Lepisosteus oculatus: one gene and its partner. The protein of the gene in region 1 interacts with the protein of each later gene in a pairwise test. Links are inferred from orthologs where the notes say so. Each region holds a gene or a part of one and is shown on either strand. Other genes may lie near its edges.

Region 1 (3,753 bases):
TGGGCCTCCCTCTGCTTGGCCACTGATTTCAGGAGGTTCCTGGCACCAATTGCCTGTAGGGGGCAGCACAGGACACAGTCAACAAGGAGGTCACCTTTTTTGAGGAGTTGTTTTACTAAGGTGCAAAGGCAGGTGCATTTCAGATAGTTTTACAGGCTGTGGGAAAAGCAGGATAGGAGAAGATTCATTTCAGGTGTTAAACAACAGTATTGGATAGCTACAGTGACTGAGAGATCGTCTTGCAATTTACCGTCTTGTTCATGACGTGAAATCATTAATGATTGAACCCGTACCTTCATTTTCTCTGTCTCAGCCTCTTTTGCCAGCTCGTCCACCAGCTCTATCAACCCTCCAACAATCTTCTGAAACTGGCCAATCTCTGAAAAAGAAACAGTCTGACCCTCGGCTCCTGCATAAAACTTACCTGGATTATTTTTTAAATATGCAATACCAAATTTAAAGGTTTTCTGTACAGAAATGTGTATAATTATCAAGTCAATTTAAAGCACTACCAATACATGAATGTTAATGTTGTCATTAGATAAGTGCAAAGACATTTTAAACTACTCCACTTCCACACTACATTAACAATTTCCATGTGCATGTACCACAGCCCCTCGAACTTGGCTAAAGATTTACTTTAATCTTTCAATTACAGTCATATTTTTCTGCCACTTTATCCTGTTTTTAATGCTTCCTTTAATGTGGGTTTGTACAGCATCTTGAGATGCAGAGCATTAAAACTGGTGCTTTAGAATTACAATTGAATGGCACGCAAAACAATAATAATTGCTTACACTTATATAGCGCTTTACTGGACACTCTACTCAAAGTGCTTTACAGATAATGGGGACTCCCTCCACCACCACCAATTATGATTATTAACAATTTAACGGCACACAAAAGCTACCGGCCCATTTTGATTCCTGGGATTGGGCGGAGCAGTGGCTCTGTGGCTCACGATCTGCGCCTGTGGCTAGAAGATTGCTGGTTCAAATCCCGCAGCCGGCAGAAGAATCCTACTCCGTTGGGCCCTTGAGCAAGGCCCTTAACCCCAACCGCTCCAGGGGTGCTGTACAATGGCTGACCCTGCGCTCTGACCCCCAGCTTCTCTCCCTGTCTGTGTGTCTCATGGAGAGCAAGCTGGGGTATGCGAAAAGATAATTCCTAATGCAAGAAATTGTAAAGGGTTAATAAAGTGATGTTGTTATTATTAAGCATTCCTGCCCGTCTCCCCCGGCTGCTCCACCTGCTCCACTTACTCTCCACAAAGTCTCGGCATTCCTCCTTCAGCTCGGTGGTCTTCTGGGCCACCTCGGGCTCCAGCACGCGCAGCTTGTTGAGCTCGTCGAAGTGGAGGCCGGCTTCCGCCAGCGAGTCCTTCGCCATGATTGGTGGGCGGGCCGCGGGAGGGGCTTGTGAAAATACGTCATAGAGACATGTTTAGCACGGTGCAGCCTGTCCTTAAAAAACAAAACAAAAAAAAGCCTGTGTGAAGGGGTGCATGACTACGCGAAGCATCCCCCAAATGTGGTGTAAGCTTGTTCTAAACAGTCACCGTGACGGCAGTTTCTGATCACTGCTTTGCACACAAAACAGGGAAAACGCACGATACGAAACTTAAAGAAACTAAACCTTCCTTTTTTGTCCCTCTGTTAACGGTAACACAAATCCACAATGTAGACACCAATGTTCGGGTTACATTGCAGGTGGTTTAAGAAAATACATACCTAAATGACGGACTGATAACGAGAGGACGAGAAATGCAAAACGTAGTGTAACGTAAGCCTTAACAGTTTTAAGTAGTTCTTGTCTTTCTCTGAAACTGAAAATGTTGCATAGCCAAGAATTTAACGTGCTTATTTACAGGTATTCCAAAGAAAATATCACGCACCTTTCAAATTGGAATGAGGAAAATTTTTCTTTGAAGAGGAAATACAACGTCATTATTGACGCCTATCCAAGAATTGTTAGAAAAGTAAACATACGGAGTTCGGATTGCAATCACAGTTCGTCCGGATGAACTTCATTCATGCCAGTTACTTAAACACTATTTACATACTTTTTACAACGTTTACTGAAAATGTAACTCACCGGACTTCAGTTGTTTTTTTTTTAAACTGCTGAATTACTCTGAATATGTGTCACGTCAGACTCCTCGTATGGTTCTTGTTTCTGCGGCTGCCAGGGAGACAGTCCGATTCCGACCAACATGGCACTTCCGCAGCGCTCGCGCTCGACCCGTATATTTTTCGTAGGAGTGGGAGGCGGGCTAGTCGTAAACAACAACAAAATTCCTTGAATATGTTAGCGAAAGAAGCGCTATGATTTGGATTTAATTTACTAACTGTTATAATTCATCCGATCATAACTTGATTTATATTATGTTATTTCAATGTTGTTTTTGTATCCCGATACTTGAAATTCCCTTTTGTTTATCGAATGGTTGATTCCGTCGGGTCGCCTGGAGGACGGAACCATTTAGCATCGGCTAAGGGGGAGATTAAGTATGAACGGAATCTGTAATTCCCAAAATATGCAGTTAATTTACATATTAAATTTTAATTTCAATGTAATTTGGTTTGAAAGTACAATATGTTTCTAATTTTAAGCGTCATGTTCTCGGTGTTTTAAACTCGTCTATAATGGTATCGTTGCAAGACCTCCAGGCTTTTGTGGTAATTGTAGTTCCTTTCTGGCTTTTCTCATTACCGAAAGGAAACTGCAAGGACTACAAAACCCCGAATTCCCCCTAATCCCTCCTTTACATGGAGGTGATGTTTACTGTGGTAAGCGAAGGCTATGACGTCTCAGTTTAAGCGAAAGAAGGAGCTTGACGTACCTGTCCGGAGAAACAAGGCCTGAAGAGTTTACTTGAAAAGAGACGTCGATTTAGCGTATTGGAGAGGTGAGACCCGCGAAACGCTGCATCGTGTTTAACGTCGACCGAGGAAACTGCGATATGCTTCATGGCGCGATTAAAGACTTTAATTAGATTACAGGTTGTCCCCCGGTGGAAGTGGGCGGCAGTTTTGGATGAAAGATTTAGCCCCGTGAGGCAGCGGCAGCCGAGTTTGGGACGGTGGGTGGGGACGCTGCAGTTGCTCTCGAGTGTGACTGGAGTGCCCACGAGTGAATTTATCCACTTTTATCGTTTTCCCTGCGCGGATTAAGCTTCGCTAGCTACTGTATATCACGACGTCATGAAAGTCGACGGTAAAAGTCAGCTGTGCGTGAAGTTTAAATTGATTGCTGGGCGGCCGAGAGCAGGAATTGAAACACAGTTCAGGCTGTAACGGCGTCTGTTACTGTAACAGATCAGCAGAGCTGAGTTTTCACGTCGCATTTTCCCTACGAACGCGTACTAAAGCGAGTTATTAATTCTGAATTAGTTATTGACAACAATGAAAGAGAGTTCCCAGGTCCCCATTTAATCTGTGGGGAAAAAAAAAACCTGTTGTACAGTTGTGATTCGGAGACCCTCAAATTAAAAATACAGATCTATTTTCAGGGGGTTTGGGGGTACATTCAAACACGGCGCAGGGAAGTAAGTTTTAAGCCCTTGGTTTTTCGACTGAGAACGTAGCGATCTTGGTTGGCAAGGACCCGGGCTTCTGGAAATGACTCTTGTGTCTTAGGAAGTGTCCCCTTCCCCCTGTTTTTCCGACTCTCTTCCTGCACGACCTGGAGCCCGGCATTGACCCTCCTCTCTGCCGGAAAGGCGCTGGGAGACAAGGGGGGGGTTCTGGGTAG
Region 2 (3,753 bases), on another chromosome or scaffold:
GATGGATAATATTTTGAATACATAATCTGTAAAGATAATATTGATTCACAAAATGTTATACAAATGGTATGTTTTGATTATGGGCACTATGATGAATTCACGATATTGATATGACCAGACAGGTTGAGGAGCCATCTTACTTTTATACTAAAATTACAATACAGGGATTAAGTCTTTGACAGCACAAGATTTATTAACTGAACAAACTGTCTTACTAAACAAAAATCCTTTTTTATGTTAATGTCATATATATTGTTCTCATGTACCAGAGACCTTGAAATTTTAATTTCTCCACATCACGGCTTCATAATACATTTAAAATATCAGCTTGCATAAAAACGAACTGTTGATAAATTGATAAGTTCTATCTGTAACGTATACTTAGCGAGTTATGGTGCCAAACTATCTAAAAACATCAGAAAAGTACCTAAACACAGCTGGTTTAAGTCCAGTTCTGAGCACTTAGAACGAATCGGAGATTTTTAAATGGGAATTTATTGTCGCTTTTACAAGAGTTCGCCTACGAAGACATTTTGGAATCAATTGTGCTTGCTTATCAAATGATGAGTGTGTGTCCTGCAGAAATTATTAGTAGACGGGGTACCTATGTGAGGATTTTTAACGTGTATTGCAATGTTAGAAGTTATCAAGCACAGGGCTCGTACATTATCCAGTGGAAATTCTGGATACTTCAGGCAGGCTTTGCTTTTCATTCTCTGGATCACTCTCGAAATATCAGCTGTCATGAAATAACACAATAGCATATCCAAATGCAAGATCAATTACATGCTAATATAAAGCTGTAAAACTATACACACCCAAACTGTAGTCTATATCAATCCTTAACATACTTTTTAAACTACACTATAAATACCAAATGAACCTATATCAGAACCACTGAAGTGCAATGAGGAACTACTAATGTAAAGTAACAGAGGCAGCCTACCGGCTATAAAACAGCCTAACATGTCTTTCAACCTGCAACACGGCGCGGCCGGAGACAAGAGACCCGTCACTGACAGAAAACATTAGTTTCAACACAGTTTAAACTAATTTTTCACTTCCATCTGATAAGACAGCCATATGGAGAGACCTTCGGCTGCAACCATAACGACCAACACAACATATTTTTACAACACTTACCCGCAGTGTTAGAGGGAGCGCCTCCAAAGTTAAACGCCATGTTCGATGTGTTCCGGTTCCGTCTACATGGAGGCTCCGTGTAGAAACCCGGGCTACTCGAACAACGAGTTCCTACGTACGCGGAACCTTGCGCTATATGCGTGTCTCAGACAGGAGCAGCACGTTTAAATGGCAACACACTTTATTGAACTCCATACATGCATATAGCTACACAGAGGTCGTTCTCATAGCAGCAATTGTTGGTGTCACCACGAAGCACGTCAAACATCTGAGTTTCTGTCTGACCTAACTTCTCTAGTAAAGTCTGCTGATCCCCCGTCACCTGAAGAGAGAATTTGTTTTTTTTTTGTTCTGGGAGAGAAGCACAACCTCGGGTTCAGAGGTGATGATTTTAAGGCTCTGCGCGTCGGGAATCACAGTGGGGCGATGCATTAAGGACAAGATAATTTTCGTGGAATAGAGGGCGGTTCTGGTTATCTGCACTCGGGTCTATTAAATCGCATACCTGTTCAAAACGGAAAACAAACAGGACGGGGACACGATTTAGACTACGACTGTAATCAACTCAACACCGAATCTCTATCTCGAATGATACTTTCTTAGTCCCAAGAACCATTTAAAATAACCACTGGGGGGAAAAGAGTAAAGGAAAAAAGTCCCGGACATTTTAAATTTACCGGCGGTTAAGAACTGAACAGGAGAATATATCCAAGAAAAAAAACGTACGTATGGTAACCCTACCAAAGGCCACACTGAACAAACTCAACTTAATGCCAGAAATAGTTCAGGTAGCTGCGTTCCCACCCGAAGAAGGCACCACAGCACGTTGTTTCCTTTCTTCTCTTTTCAGCATGGAATACACCTTTACTTGTTCCTTAATGTCAGAAATATGGACACAGCTTCCGCCCCCCGGAGAGATGGACCGTACTATAAAGCATCTGGCACCTCGCATTATCCCACAACCCAACTTGAGGAACACTTCATCTGCCTTCGTGAGGGAGATGTGATCAGTAAACCCACCCGAGTTATCTTTTTACTCCCTTTGCTTTTCTCTACCAGAACTATGAGGCTGCCAGGTAGCCATTCTCTGTGCCCTTGAAACAAATGCTCCTCATCCTGCGCTTTCACTTAAGAGACAGTTGGCGCCGCCGCAGCTCCCTTTAAATAACAGCCGCTACTTCTCCTCCAAGATAGGAGGAGAAGGTAATTTAACCCTTCTCCAAAATTTAAGAACAGAATTTAAAGGTTGTCGTTCAAACCACGCAAGGCAACGATTTGTTAGTTCAAATGATGTTAAGGGCTCGGCAGAAAGACGTGCTGTTCTAATATTATAGTGTATATTTTTTGAAAGCACAGAAGTTCCTTTATTTGGTAGGATATTACTTCTCCATTTGTATTTTGAAAGAATTCAGACTTAAATTAAGAAATAAATCAGATATAAAGTTCTCCCTGACTGCGTGTCTCATGGAGAGCAAGCTGGGGTATGCGAAAAGACTAATTCCTAGTGCAAGGAATATACATTGTATATGGCTAATAAAGTGATCTTTATCTTATTTTATCTTAATTCCACTCTGAGCTTGCACAGTGTGCCTGAGCTGCAGTTCCCCCTGAATTCACTTTCTCACCTCTCTGCCTGATCTGGGGTGTGGCAGGGTGCTCGCCCCAGGCGTGTGCAGCACTTCAGTGCTTAATGAATCGGGTCTCTCCATTTGCATGAAACTCTTTCAGATGAAAGGTGCTGTAGAAATACAACTGTATTTCAGACAGAAACATGAGCATGGCAACAGGAAGATGCTTAATCAGCCAGCTACAACACATCTTATCCTTCCACTTCTTCAGACAGTCCGGATCGGTAATAACATCTCCAGCACCATCCGATTGAGTACCAGAACCCCCCAGGGCTGTGTGCTCAGCCCACTGCTGTTCACACTGATGACTCACGACTATACTGCCAAGCTTCATCAAAACTGCTTCATCAAGTTTGCCGACAGTGGTGGGCCTCATTAGCAACCATGATGAGTCACCATGCAGAGAGGAGGTGGAGCAACTAGTGGACTGGTGCACAAACACCAACCTATCTCTTAATTTAAACAAAACAAGAGATAATCATTGACTTCAGAAGTGTCCACGCTGATCACTCCCCACTGCACATCAATGACTTCCCTGTGGAGACAGAAGCGCCACATTTCTAGGTGTACACATTACAGGTGACCTCACCTGGTCCCTCAATACCACCTCCCTAGCCAAGAAAGAAAAAACAGCAGCATCTTTATTTCCTGCGGTGACTGAGGAGGGCAAACCTTTCCCCTGCCCATTCTTACCACCTTCTACAGAAGCGCCACTGAGTGCACCTTGACCAGCTGTGTCACTGTCTGGTTTGGAAACTGCAACGCTTCAGACCACAAGACCCTGCAAACAATTGTGGAAACAGATGAACAGATCATTGGAGCCTCCCTCCCTTCCATTTCTGTCACCTATCACAAACGCTGCTTACACAGGGCCTCCAGTATAGTAGATGACCCCTCGCATCCCTCCCACAAACTCTTTGCCATCCTGTCATCTGGGAAAAGATATCGCAGTGTACGGGCCAGCTCCACCAGACTCTGGAAC

Evidence for each region.
Region 2: the proteins of ift20 (region 1) and nup54 interact in binary tests that used the Homo sapiens proteins (3 or more experiments, as listed by UniProt). The two-hybrid records come from large-scale screens. The link is inferred for Lepisosteus oculatus from reciprocal best matches to the Homo sapiens genes IFT20 and NUP54.

What each region holds. Positions count from the first base shown.
Region 1 is NC_090721.1:8,405,977-8,409,729, forward strand, and holds the start of ift20 (intraflagellar transport protein 20 homolog), read right to left. Parts: upstream 2,405-3,753; 5' UTR 2,095-2,404; intron 1,464-2,094; exon of another isoform or gene 1,459-1,463; 5' UTR 1,390-1,458; coding exon 1,263-1,389; intron 380-1,262; coding exon 294-379; intron 54-293; coding exon 1-53. UniProt on the Homo sapiens protein: Part of intraflagellar transport (IFT) particles involved in ciliary process assembly. May play a role in the trafficking of ciliary membrane proteins from the Golgi complex to the cilium.
Region 2 is NC_090698.1:66,800,928-66,804,680, reverse strand, and holds the start of nup54 (nucleoporin p54), read right to left. Parts: upstream 2,247-3,753; 5' UTR 1,184-2,246; coding exon 1,144-1,183; intron 1-1,143. UniProt on the Homo sapiens protein: Component of the nuclear pore complex, a complex required for the trafficking across the nuclear membrane.